2 linked regions of the Arabidopsis thaliana genome follow. The protein of the gene in region 1 interacts with the protein of each later gene in a pairwise test. Each region holds a gene or a part of one and is shown on either strand. Other genes may lie near its edges.

What was found. The genes of interacting proteins can lie anywhere in the genome.
Region 2: the proteins of RUS6 (region 1) and BTI2 interact in a two-hybrid assay, tested with the Arabidopsis thaliana proteins (one large-scale study listed by BioGRID).

The regions. Positions count from the first base shown.
Region 1 is NC_003076.8:20,244,483-20,252,792, forward strand, and holds RUS6 (root UVB sensitive protein (Protein of unknown function, DUF647)), read right to left. Parts: upstream 5,141-8,310; 5' UTR 4,951-5,140; coding exon 4,645-4,950; intron 4,555-4,644; coding exon 4,456-4,554; intron 4,384-4,455; coding exon 4,270-4,383; intron 4,168-4,269; coding exon 4,096-4,167; intron 4,023-4,095; coding exon 3,912-4,022; intron 3,811-3,911; coding exon 3,691-3,810; intron 3,492-3,690; coding exon 3,390-3,491; intron 3,297-3,389; coding exon 3,224-3,296; intron 3,105-3,223; coding exon 3,021-3,104; intron 2,939-3,020; coding exon 2,874-2,938; intron 2,791-2,873; coding exon 2,689-2,790; intron 2,593-2,688; coding exon 2,419-2,592; intron 2,343-2,418; coding exon 2,271-2,342; 3' UTR 1,909-2,270; downstream 1-1,908. Other genes in the region: MMT (methionine S-methyltransferase), read left to right, coding at 71-1,015, 1,265-1,564; EXO84B (exocyst complex component 84B), read right to left, coding at 6,321-6,477, 6,564-6,700, 6,796-6,984, 7,199-7,714, 8,108-8,310. UniProt on the Arabidopsis thaliana protein: Required for normal embryo development.
Region 2 is NC_003075.7:6,837,411-6,843,104, forward strand, and holds BTI2 (VIRB2-interacting protein 2), read right to left. Parts: upstream 2,627-5,694; 5' UTR 2,169-2,626; coding exon 1,916-2,168; intron 1,595-1,915; coding exon 1,414-1,594; intron 1,325-1,413; coding exon 1,183-1,324; intron 1,093-1,182; coding exon 1,023-1,092; intron 936-1,022; coding exon 766-935; 3' UTR 501-765; downstream 1-500. Other genes in the region: AT4G11230 (Riboflavin synthase-like superfamily protein), read right to left, coding at 3,381-3,490, 3,583-3,661, 3,747-3,875, 3,967-4,176, 4,259-4,418, 4,492-4,659, 4,789-4,904, 5,009-5,104 and 2 more.

The sequences.
Region 1 (8,310 bases):
ACAAAGTTAAACCAATGTGTATATCGTAAGGCTGGAAACTCTACTCAGTTCTCTATTATGTGGCTTGTAGAGGGAAAGTGAGAAAGCAAAGTCTGAAGAGATCATTGGATTTTCAAGCTCAGCAGTCTCTATTCTAAAAGATGCTGAGCTTTCAGTCACTGAGATTGACGAAACTTCTCTAATCCACATGGATGTTGATCAAAGTTTCTTGCAAATTCCACAATCTGTTAAGGCTGCAATCTTTGAAAGTTTTGTGAGGCAGAACATATCTGAAGCGGAAGTTGATATCAACCCAAGTATTAAGCAGTTTGTGTGGAGTAATTATGGGTTTCCAACCAAAAGCAGCACAGGCTTTGTATATGCTGATGGCTCACTAGCACTATTCAATAAACTGGTAATTTGTTGTGCTCAAGAAGGTGGAACGCTTTGTTTACCTGCTGGTACAAATGGAAATTATGTTGCTGCTGCCAAATTTTTAAAAGCTAATGTCGTGAATATCCCTACCGAGTCTAGTGATGGCTTTAAGCTGACAGAAAAGACTCTAACGAAAGCACTCGAGTCTGTGAAGAAGCCGTGGGTTTGTATATCTGGACCAACGGTTAGCCCTACAGGCTTGGTGTACAGCAATGAGGAGATGGATATACTGTTGTCTACTTGTGCTAAGTTTGGAGCAAAGGTCATCATCGATACTTCATTCTCGGGATTAGAATACAGTGCAACTAGCTGGGATTTGAAGAACGCTTTGTCGAAAATGGATTCTTCCTTATCAGTTTCGCTGCTTGGATGTCTCTCTTTGAATTTGCTCAGTGGAGCTATTAAACTCGGGTTTCTAGTTTTGGATCAGTCTCTCATCGATGCCTTCCATACCCTCCCAGGCCTGAGCAAACCGCACAGCACTGTGAAATATGCCGCTAAGAAAATGTTGGCTTTGAAGGAAGAGAAAGCAAGTGACTTTCTGGATGCCGTTTCTGAAACCATTAAAACCTTGGAAGGCAGATCCAGACGCTTAAAAGAGGTACTCATTTCTGCCTATACTCCCTTTTGCATTATCATCAGAGCTCAGATTGTCTTAGATTGTTTGCAAATAACAAATGAATATTTCAAATGGTTAAAGCTGTGGGAAAGGCTTTAGTGGTACCGCTCAGGTCTTTTTGAATCTCATGTTGTTAACAATATTGCAGCAGAGGGGTAAATGGAGTAAATGTTGATCGCATAATCGCATGATGTTAGGTTGTTGATCTTCCTTTTTAAATTATTGGAACAGGTACTACAGAACTCTGGTTGGGAGGTTATCCAACCCTCAGCTGGAATCTCAATGGTGGCAAAGCCAAAAGCTTATCTCAACAAAAAAGTAAAGCTGAAAGCAGGAGATGGACAGGAAATCGTCGAGCTTACGGATTCAAATATGAGGGATGTGTTCCTCAGCCATACCGGTGTTTGCTTAAACAGCGGTTCCTGGACTGGAATCCCTGGTTACTGCCGGTTTTCATTTGCATTGGAAGATAGTGAGTTTGACAAGGCTATTGAATCGATAGCTCAGTTTAAAAGCGTCCTTGCTAACTGAAACGTGCCAGTTTCATTTACGATGTCATCAACTTGAACTAAAGGGCATTGTGCATTGCTGGTTCTGAGACTTAACACGTCGCTCTTCTTCTGCGTTCCTTTGTTCTGTTGTTTCTAAATAACTCGCTTCCCGTTTCTTGGTCAGCCCCATAACGGGTTTACTTTTTGGAAGTATGATATTTTCATGCTAATAAAGGAGTCATAAAACTTTGAATAAGTCTTATATTTTAATGTGAATAAGTCTCCTTGTTTCTATGATGTTTTTTTCTTTTATGTTCGATCTTGGGCTCTCTATGATGTTCCAGAAAAAAAGAATGTGTTCCAGAAAAGATATCAAATAAGTATCTCAAAATGAATCCAAAGCTAAATGGTTTTTGACACCTCTACCAATTCATACATTCTAGATCTGGTACTATGTATGTTTCGTGAACCCAAAGTTTCTGACTTTCTGTTTATGAACCTGTGTAACAATCATGATGTGAGAATTGGTACACAAAGAAGATTCATCTGTTAAATTACACCAGTGGCATTCTCACAATTTACAAAAGCTACATATCGTTCTATTTTTTACAGCCTGGTTAATAAAACGTGTACCAACCAAAACCTGTTTTTTTCTTCATGAAACCAAGACAGCAAAATTTAGAGTGTGACAGTGAAATAACTATAAAAGCCGATTCAGGTCGATGACCAGTCTCAACAGGCGATGTTTACTCCCCCTCCTTCACATGACATAACCTAGCCCGGCCAGGATTAAGCAGAGATTCTGACATTCTCCAACCCTATCAAAATGGAATTTTCAGATGCACACTCGATTAAATAACTTAAAAAGGATATAACAGGTTTCTCCCAAGTTACCTGTTCTGCAGCCCTGCTTTTGAAGACGCCATATGATGTGGAAACCATTTCACACGACTCAGCAATACGAGACTCGAGCTCATATTCCGTAGGAGCAAACGCAGGATCTAATTGCTCCACCGATCTTGGGTTACCATCTTTTGATTGATTCATGAAATGAAGAAGCACATGTGCCTGTGATATATGATCATGTAACCGAATGAGAAAATTTAGGCCAAAATTACTTCGTCTCAACAGAATAGTAATTAAACAGATACAAAATCATCCTACATGAAATGCTGCTTTGAGAATGTCATCTGAGTTAGCCTGATGTTTGAGCAGTGCATAGACTTTACCCTTGGTAGGGCTGTACGTTACCATGTATCTTTCTTTCTGCCATTAGTAAAGAGAATAAAGTCAATTACAGTATCAAGATAAAGCGGTCAAGGCTTGATATTAAGGGAAAAAACACATACATCGAAAAAAGGCTTTACAGCCATATACGTGCTGGGGTCTTGGAATGCATCCTTAAATCTGGCTCCTGTCAAATTGTATGAAAAACCTAATCAGTAAGGGTAATGAAAAAGGAATATAATTTATATGGAATGCTTGATAACACATACCAAGCATCACTGGCCGATCATCCACCCATGGAAAAGTGAATATCTTTTCTTGGATATTACCTTCCTGCAATGAGGGAACCCGCCCTGCAGATAGATGGAAAGTTCAATCTGTGAAGTTTGAATATGACAAACCTCAAAAGGGGTGGGAAATCAGAGCTCTAGGAGCACACTCAAGTGCATGCTAGCAAAGTGACATAGCTTACCCGTCTTAAGAAAGGACTCCACTGCTACTGTAAATCTAGCACGGTTTAGTGTATGCAATACTACAGATCTAACCTGTAAAGGACACAGCCACGTTTTTTGAGCAATAAATCAAGAGAACCCCAAGTACATAAAAAGAGATATACTTGAAACAGAGCTGGATTCTACCTCTTGGTACGAGCTCATGAGATAGCCACATGATAGAAGACCAAATGTTGTGACCAACGAAGGATTTCTTTTTGATATCAGGATGCTAAACCCAGTTCCCATCTTCACATAGAAAATAATAAAAACAAATGAAAATTTTAGAGCTCAAAAAGAGATCAAACAGAATCTATTTCGACCCTTAAGCAACAAGTAGCAAACTAGCAATGTAGCCACCTTTAGTTCAAATTTAATTCCGCTTGACAGATTAAACCAACAAAACACCCAAGAAACAATGAAAACTAATGTTGAAAAAGGGTCATACCAGATCTGCAATATTACCAACACACTCTCCTTTAGCAGTTACGTCTCCTATGTTTTCTCCTTTAGCAAAGGCTTTATAGATCGGTGTACGAGTAGACGTTGATGTTACTGCTGCAACATTCTGTGATAAAACAAATGATTGATACAAAAACAAAAATCAAAGACCAACAATAACATTGAAATCGAATAGCAATTATGAGTGATAAAAGATGATAAAACTACCTTAACAACATTAGCAGCACAAGCCAGTGGAAGAAAAAGATGTGGAACTGCAGCCGTCGCCAACTCTACACCAGCACCGAGCTCCATCAATAGATCACCAGCAAACCGTAACTGCAAGCCAAAGTGAGTTTAAACGTGAGAGAGAGAGTCAACCATCGCATTTGTTAAGTAATGGAATAAGTACCTGTTTCAAATCATAATCAAATTTCTTTCCCTGCCTCGCAAAAAGCATTTTCCCAACACGCCCAGCACCATCCTACAAGAATTACATTGATATTCAACAATGAGTGAGTAAGCCATGTTTTAAAGGATTGTTATACATGCATGATGCATGAAAGGATATACGAGAAAGGAAAACCTTGAGAATCCAATTGATGGCAACAGCAGCAGAAGCAGAACTGTTTCTTGAAGCTCCAACAGAATTAAGAAGAGTTTGAGTAGTAAACACACCCATAGCTCCACCAAAGAAATGCTACACAGTCAAAAAGATCAATCATTTACACTGAATTCTAAAAAAAAACTTTTAGAGAGTAACGAAACATACTTTCAAAGCTCTCCAAGTCATATAAGGAACATAAGACTCATTAACACTCCCAGGAAAGCCTTCAGGTACAACGTAAGATCTAAGAAACGAACCCACTTCCTGTAACAAATCACCAAAAACAAAAATTGAACACATTTCACATATTTAGGAAAATTCAAAAAAAGAGTTCATCAATGGAACAAGGCATACATCAAAAGGAGTCTGAGGAGACTCCAAGCTAATAGCACGAACTGAATTCTTCTTGAATCTCCCAGAACCATCGCTCTCAGCGACATACTTAAACCGACGGCCATCGATTTCTTCGCAACAGATCAATCTCAGAGTCGAATGAAGAAATTGAGAATCTGGAGGTGGAGGAGAGTGAGGAGGGAGATCATCAACGGGAGGAGAAGCGAGAGAGGCGCTGATTCGGAGAGTTTCACGGGAAAGGAGACGGACGGAGTCGGAGGCAATAGTGTCAGGTGGAGAATGGTGTGTGAGCTTGACGCTTGGCATTGTTGTTGTTGTAAATCTAATGAAGGATCGATGAAGAAGGGATTTTAATGGAGTGTCTCTCCGGCGGAGGAAACGAGGGAAGCTCTGTAGAAGAAGAAGCGAAACCAGTTGTTCCACAAACAAATTCACCTCCAATATTTTATTATTATATTTATCTCTTCTTTTATTCTTTTTAGTCCCACAGTGTATATCTGACAAAATAAAATAAAAATTCTGATCAAACTAGACATTTAAAATACTTTAAGTTACTTTCTCACCAAAAAAATAAAATATTTTAAGCTACATAATAGAAATAATCTATTGAATAAATTGTTGTGTTTTGCACCCTGATAATTCGATTTTTGTAACGAGGCAAATTTTGTTAATTAAATATCAGATTCAGCTCATAACATGTGAATGGTAAGTAAGCTGAAATCAAAATGTTCAGTAATGTAGTCTGATTGTGCCTCCTCCCACGTGATTATAGACTACTATCACTTGGAATTATCATTGGAAAAGTCATTACCTGAAATCTACCATAGAGCTATCAACATCACATCTTCCTTGCCATGTTTTATACATTCTGAGGCTCCGAATGGTGACTGCGTTTTGCGGTGCGGAAGAAGTGCGGTGCGGTTCAAATAGGAACGAAAATACATAGATACATATGTATATGTAAAGATTTTGATACTGTTACAGCACTGTTGCGATACGGTTTTGGTTACCATTCACAGCCTGAGTATCACCACCTACTTTTGTTTGTCATCTGTCAAAACATGAATCTCAAACATGTAGAGAAGCAAAGGAGGTGTTTGCATCAATGGCGAGGGATGACTCTAGCATCTCTAAGCCTCATTCGCGAATGATTATTGCCTTATCGGGCATGCGTGGCCAAATTACCAAGCCTTTAAGGGTCCATGTGGTAGGTAACCGTCCTTACCCATTATTCAAACTTTTGTACATCCCAAGATCCGACCCACCGTACCAAGAATTAGACTAGGAGTTTACACAACACGATTTACTTAAAACTAATTTACGCTATGAACTACATGATTCGAGTAGGAAATACAAAAAGTGAATCGTAAGATATCTCATTCAAGTTTGCTACATCTGATCCAATACCAAAACAGAAAGAGAGTGTATCATAGAGAAGAAAGATCAACACTCTCTTCAATATTTTAACCCAAAGAATGCATCCATTGAGAGAGAGAGAGGACCAATACAAGAAAACAAACATGTCAACTCAACAACATTTACACGCCCCCAAAATCATCTCATCAACAACTGGAGACTCTACAAAATAGAAAGCTTTTGGAAAAGCAGAGCTGAAAAGAGAAGATCAAAAGTTATTGACCATTCACCTTCTTAACAAATGTAAGATGGGTTTGGTTTCAATAGCTGCCATGAGATCTCGCTGATGAAACAGACTGAGCTGACACTGAAGCAGTCGGACTGTGGACATCCCCGTTGTTGCCCTTTGTCTTGCCACTCAATCTTTCCATCGCATCCACACATATGTCATTGAACCAATCGTCTTCTGGCAGCTCACTGCACATCATTCACAACCACATTTTAATCATTTATACTTACCATAAAGGCTAAAACATTGCAAAACACCCTCAAAACCGATGTACCTATATGGATCTATCCCTGTTGCGGTGAAAGCTGCTAAGGCTTTAGATATTATCTCATTAGTTCCCCTGTGCAAATTCCTCGATAGGTAGCGACCTTGGGATGCAAAGCATATGACAAACTTCATGTCCAAATACAGCTGTGACAGATGCAGGTTGTTTGTTAACAAAGGTACACAACAATTTCGATGCTCGCTGAATATACATATACAGAAGCAAGAATGAGTGTACAAACCTGCCGTAGGCCAAGAGGTCCCAAAGGTCGAGGACCTTCCTCAATGTCATCCCAAAAGCTCTGGTCTCCAGAAAGCCATAAGATCACAGTCTCTGTTAATCGCATCAACAAAGATATGGCGAATCTTTCTCTTCCTACAAACATATCTGCTGCTAGACTTGCCATCCTGTTAAGTTTGGCAAAAAGTTCCTGTTTTCCAACGACGCAACACCCAAAGTATAAGAATATTAAGCTAAAAAAGACAGAAAAAAATCATGTTCTTGAAGTGGACAGTAGACTATGACAAACATGGATTCAACTCTACAGTATCCAATCTGCCGATAAGAGTTCCCAAGTGACTACACATCTGGGTACAGTACTTCATAAAGGCTAACTGGACTGATGGAAATGAAACAACAACTACCTGGAATATCAGAGATGGAAAGAAGTCCACATCCTCGCCATTTTCATCTATGTTTACGTACATATCCGCAGACAGATGGCTATCTCCTTCCTCAGTAAAAATGAGATCCAAGGCATGCTGGCGACAAAACGCATCTTTTAACTTGTCAACAGTACTAAGTAAACGCCTCTTCCATTCTCGTTGTTCAGGATTACGATTTTGTCTGTCCAAAGGTCTCCTTAGGTCGTCTGTCCTCTGACCAGTCTGATCAAGAGAGAGTTTCATGGCAGCACGTGGAAGTAATTCATCCGCTAGCAATGATGCATTTGCGAGTAATGCAAGTTGGTTTGCCTCCGTCTCAGCCATTTGGACAATCTTATTACATGAACTTTCAAAATTTGGATCTTCTTCTTCTATCGAACCAGGAAGTGCTCTTACCAGCACATCTACATATGAGTTAAACACCCGAAACAGACCTTCCAGAGCTTTACTTCCCAATTGCATACTTAGCAGAGGTCCTACGTCCTCAAAGAAGTCCTGCAACAAAATACCATTATCAAAAGGATCTACTTGACAAATACATCCAAAGTTCATGACAGTCCACTTGGGAATCCTCTGCCTATCAGAGCAGCTAAGACAGAATTGGTACTGCCTAGAGTTTATAATAACTTTTCAGTGGGAACGCGAGTGCAAGTTCTAATCAATCGTCATCAACGATGGCTAGTCAATTTTACAGCTGATGTGTAAACTCATATTATAAGCAATTTTCATGGGATACTGGCATATCTAAGAGACACACCAGACGTCTAAGAGTGAAAAATATTTCATTTTTCTAGGCATGTCTGCATTTCCTAAGCACTTTATTTTTCTAGCACAACTTTAGAAAAAGGCTGAAAATTTCGGAGAAAAGTGTTTGTCAAGATAGTCTACCTGGACCATGAGATTAAACCGGTGGGCACTGGATGTAAGCTTATTCTGAAATGCTGTACTAGCATGACGACTACCAGCAGGAGGACTTGTCAGTACCCAATCATCTGCAGCAGCCATAGCTGCAGTGTTTTCTTCAATTCGCTTAAGATTTGCCTCCAATGCCTGTTCCACAATAGGCTTAAAGTGCTTTAAAAGCACTGGGC
Region 2 (5,694 bases), on another chromosome or scaffold:
CTTTTAACTAGTTACTTATTTAGCTGATTGTTACCTGAGAAACATAAGACCGTTTAAGAAAAAACAAAAACATGGTTAAATGAGAAAACATAGTATAAAGGAAAGAAAAAAGAAGGTAATTATAATTTAAAATTAACAAAAATATAAATTGTCAGCAGTGGGGTTTGAACCCACGCCCTCGTAAGAGGACCAGAACTTAAGTCTGGCGCCTTAGACCACTCGGCCATACTGACATTTGTTAATATTCATACTTATTACATATATATAACCAGTAAATATACAAACATGTTATATTTTTATTTTTTGGACAAATAAAGTAACAAACACTTAAAAAATGAGCTCAGAGAAAATAAAAATCTAAATTGTCAGAAGTGGGGTTTGAACCCACGCCCTCTTACGAGGACCAGAACTTGAGTCTGGCGCCTTAGACCACTCGGCCATCCTGACTTGTTTGATATCAAGACATACTACAAATATATAATCGAGAAAAAACGATATTTGAGTAACGTACCATATTAGAAACACAGAAATCAATCAGTACATTAAAAATATAGATCAAGAGAACGACTACAATCATTGTGCTAATGCCACAAACCACTCCAAAAACAAAGCAAAGTTGTCAAGTAAAATTTGGGTTGAGATCTAACACATAACCTTTTAGATTACCAATTCACAACACAACACAACCCACGTGTATAAAAACCAGAGCATTGTGCACATTGCACTCCAAAGAAAACCCACACAAAACAAAAACCCCAAAAAAAACTAATCCTTCTTCTTGTCTTTCAACGGTCCTCTTGGGATTTTGCTGAATACCTTTGCGTCCAACACAGCGTATTGCTTCTTCAACTCAGCCATTGCTTTCTCACCGTATGAGTCTACTTTGTCTTCGTACTTGTCGTAGAAAAGAGGAACAGTGAAGAGCAGAACCAGAGCTGGACCAAATCAATAACCGTTCATCAGCAATGTCAGAATAAGAGAGAAGGCAGAAGCAAAATACTTTTAGCAACAGTAAGTGTTACCTATGTATGCCAATGTCAAGAAACTATAGCAGCCGCCCAAGATCGATAGAACCCACAATCCGGCAATAGCCTAATTCAATCAAACAGTACAATAAGTGTCAAACTTAAGTGAGACATCGAGAGAGGAGTAACGAGTAAGTCCAGGACAGTTTAAACATACAGAGAGGAACTTCTTGATATCCCTCCCCGACGCAATCTCACGAAGAGAAGAGATCCCACGGTTGATTTCGATTCTAAGACCCGAAGCAAGCTGAAGAAGAGGTTCTTCAGGGATATGAACTTCAGGAATCTTTGGTGGAGACCTGAAAGAGAATGAAAATTTGGTAACGAAGATGAGTCAAATAAGCTTGACAACCTTGACCTGTTTCATATGATTGACCACAAAACTTACTTGTGAATGAACATAGTGGCATTAGACCATAGAAACAACACAGCAAGAGCAACGATCATAACGTGACATAACAGAGTAAGAAGATGATACTCCATCAATTCAAATAGCACCCATGCCACTGTAGCACCGCCAAATACACCTCCTGACATTTTCTTGTCCTTCCACATAAATATATCTGCCGCTGCAATTAAAAAGATCACCAAATTAGGGTTTATCAATCACGAAATAAGAACCATATCATCAATAACTACAAGAATCTCACAAGATCATTATACACATTTCCAAAAAAAAAAAAATCAATTCCATCACAAATTCTCTCAAACTAGTCAGAAATCAAAATCGAAATCGAATTCAAATCAATGTAAACCTCTATGTAGATTCAAACGATCTTCTTCACGGATCCCTTAAACTAGTGAGAAAATCAAACAGATCAAGCCAACGCAAACGAATTCGTTTTAAAAAACTGAGAACAAATATCGAAACGGGATCAGAGTAAACATACGTTTTCCGCCGCCGAGAACCTTATGAACAGGTCTCTCTCTTCCGAACAAACGATAAACCTTCGATTTCAAAGACTTTGGAGACGATGACGAAGACTTCTTCTCGTTTTCGTCATCTGATGATGATGAAGACGACGAATCACCTTTGTGATGGATCTTCTCCGATAACTTCTCCATCAACGATTCCCTCTCTACAACCTCCACTGCTGGATCCAAATTAGGTGAAGATTCTTCATGCTTATGTTCATCCGCCATTGTTTCCGATTCAAGAGAAGAAGAAGAACGATCAAAGTTATTGTTCTAGCGTTTTCGTTACACCTCTGAGAAGAAAGATCTCGAAGTCGAATGAAAAAACCAACAATAAAAGGAGGAAAATTAGAATAAATCTGAGCCGTTGAATATTTTGTTTCTGATCTGATCCGTTGGTTGGTTCGGATCCAAACCTGCTGCTTCCTTAACTAGAGCGATGCTTAGGAAAAGATAAATGTCGTGGGGACATATAAAAAGTGTTTTCACAGGACCGAGATGTTAACGCTGTTAAGGATAACGGCTTTTTAAGTCACGTGTAATTAACGGCTCTGTTATTAAAATGGCTATTAAACTTTTCTGGTTCAGGTGTCACGCGGCTGGACAAAGAAACGGTCGAACCGGTGGTCATGTGACACGTGGTTGAATCGTAGCCGCTTGCTTATGTGACTCATGTACTTTCGGTCTGCATTCAAAAGACAATGATAATTTAATTATCTTGACACTAAATTAAAATAATATTTTGCTGCTGGCCAAAAAACTAGAAAATAAAAATATTAGAGAAGTAGGAACCGTCTCTTGGTTAAAAGAAGTGTTTAAAAAAGAATGCTCTAGAAAGTGAAAAAGCATTTAACTTGACAGCGTTAGCTCGAGTCGTAATATGGGCCCAATGAGCTAAAACAATGATGAAGCCCAGTTACTTTCTCATGTCCAAGAAAGCAAATATGATTCAAAACCGAAACCATGATTCTAAACCGGTCAAGAACCAAGGAACAGTGAAATTTTTGAGGCTTTTGAGTCAGTTCGGGTTTAAAAAGACCCTTTTCCCCAGCTTTCTTCATTCATTTTCAAGTTGATAACCAAATGGGCCAAACTAGTTATCGGCCCATAATAATAAGAGAGCTCAAAGACAGGCCCAATAATAAGTGCTCAAATTTGAAAACAATTGAACAGACAGAACCAATCATCCCAATGATCCCATCATCCCCCTTTGTTTGAATTTCTCATTTTTACTCCTTTACACTCTTTTTTTCTTCACAAGCTTTAACTGTGACTTTTTACATTTTTTAACAGTCCTACTCTAGATGAAATGGTTAAAAGTTGGTATTTGTGATACACAAAACGAAAAGAAAACACAACAAGTAGGATACGAGAACGAACATGAACATTGATTCATTCATTCAAAAAACCATAATCGTGGGGGATTAATCCTTTTACCAGTTAGAACTGTTCTTTGTGGAAATCGAACCTGGTAATTCCCGTCTGGTTAAATTCATGGCAGAGTGTTGAAAGTTCCTTCCCCAAACTTGGAACTCCACAATAGAACACTCCTGTAACAAACAAAAAAACATTCTTCAGACAAGGCAAATATACACCGCGATATCGAATATCATTTCAGTGAACTGATGTTTCTGTGTGTTACCAATTCTTGCGTTCCTATGTTTGGTGCTAATCTTTGATAAAACTTTCTTCCATTTTGGCCTCCCAAAATGTGTCCTTACCTAAAATAACCAAAAGTTGTTATACAAGATCAGAAAAGAGTGTTGTTTGTGATAAAGTAATCAACTAATCATTAAAGATCATTACCTTGGTTCCTGAAAAAATGTCGACGCCATTTTTGGCATGGTTTAACGTTTGGATCATAGTGAGAAGATTGGATCGAGTATCTCCTTCTTCGTAGACGCTAGTCAAGTAGTTGTGCATCTCAATAACACCCTTGTAGTTGTTCACAAGACAAATACGTCAGTGAGTAACTTGAAATCATACAATCTTTTGAATTTAAAATGAATAAGTGTATTGTTTTTACCTTTCTATCTGAATCAGCAATCTCGTTCATGATTTCTTTGAACCAATCGAACGAGCCTTGTTCTCGTGTTACCCAGTAAAAGTAAGCATTCTTGGTATTCAGCGTCTTCCGTTGAGTTTGCGGAATCCGACTCGCAGCTTCTGAGTTTAAGCAACTGAAACTGTGATCCGACGAGATGTTGCTGTTACTACAACTACCTGAGATGCATTCCTGAGAATATAACATAACTCCAAAAAAGTTTAGTTGAGATTCTGTTACTCATCAACAAGGTTTTTAAGCTTGTTATACTCACAGCTTGTTCCTGTTGCTTAATAATGTTATTGAGTAGATCTCTCAAAATGCTAACGAAAGGTGTTGCGCCGATTCCAAGGCCAACCAGTAATACCACATCATACTTCCAATGGTCTTGCGCTGGAGCGCCATAAGGTCCATCTATCAACAGCTCTGGAAAACTATATTACAAGAGAGAGTATCAAAATTCACATTCTGAGAATAATATATTGAATTTTAAAGAATTTTATGCACCTTCTTTGGTTTGGTACATCTGCTCTGAGAAGTCCGCTTTTTCCAGCTTCAGGGGCATGACATACCACTGAGAATGCCTTCTTAATCCCTTCTGTCCAATCACCGCGCTGACGAATGTGAATGCTGAGATAATCATCTCCAGGGGAAGAAGTAATAGAAAATGGATGCCTGGAGATGGAGTTTAGGACCGAGAATCTTTAAGTTAGTCTTTGTGGTGTCAAAGAACAGAGTTTGTATATGTTCTAGGATTGCAAGGAAAGCTATTAGGCTTGTTTTGGTTCCCTATAAAACACTCACCACTCAAATTTTGATACTGATGGACACTGAACAAATACATATTGTCCACTCTTGTAATCAAATGATGTAGGCTTAGACATGCGTAGCACAACAACGTTTCCGGGATAAATTACAACCTGAAACCAAATCATTTGAGTTGGTATAGAGATAATAGTAGATGATTGACAATGTGTCTTTTCATGTAATTCAGTTCAAAATGTAACTGTAAGTGAGATTTTACCTTACAGATTTCGACTGTGTAAAGCCTGGAACGGAAAAATCTAAAGATCCTCTCACCAACATAGAGTAAAACTGGTACAGCAAGATACATCCATACCTGTAGGATGCAGTATATGTTATTGTTACCACAGCCAATTATGTAAGCATGCAAAAAGTAAAATGGTAAAGAGTTTATGGAATGTACCGTTTTGCGGTACCATTTATGCTCGAGATAGAGGGAAACACCGTGGATGACTAAAAGGACGTAAACAGTTAGAAGTAAGTGATGTGAATACCAGAAGGCATTATATCCGGTTAGTTTGTCAAATGGCTTCGGCAACTTAGTTAAGTTCCGCCTGCATCTTCTACTGGCTAATGTGAATGCAATTAACATAAAAGCAACCATTATAATTCCAGTGATTCCCACAGGAGTATTCACCAAACCAAAGTATGTGGGTCTGGTCACACCAAAGTACTTAACCAAGTATCTTTTGTAATCTGTATCAGTAGATGCTAGAATCCTTGGGAAGTCACAGGCGAGGTGGCTGGTTGCATGAAGAAGCATTGCACTAATGATTGCTACAGAGATCGTCTGCGTTTAAGCAAAAACCGGAAAGTCGGATTCAGCTGAAGCATAGTATCTTTCTTATGAAAGGCAAGACAAAAAATGGTTTATGATTAACCTTGTGAAAATTAATGCAGTCATCG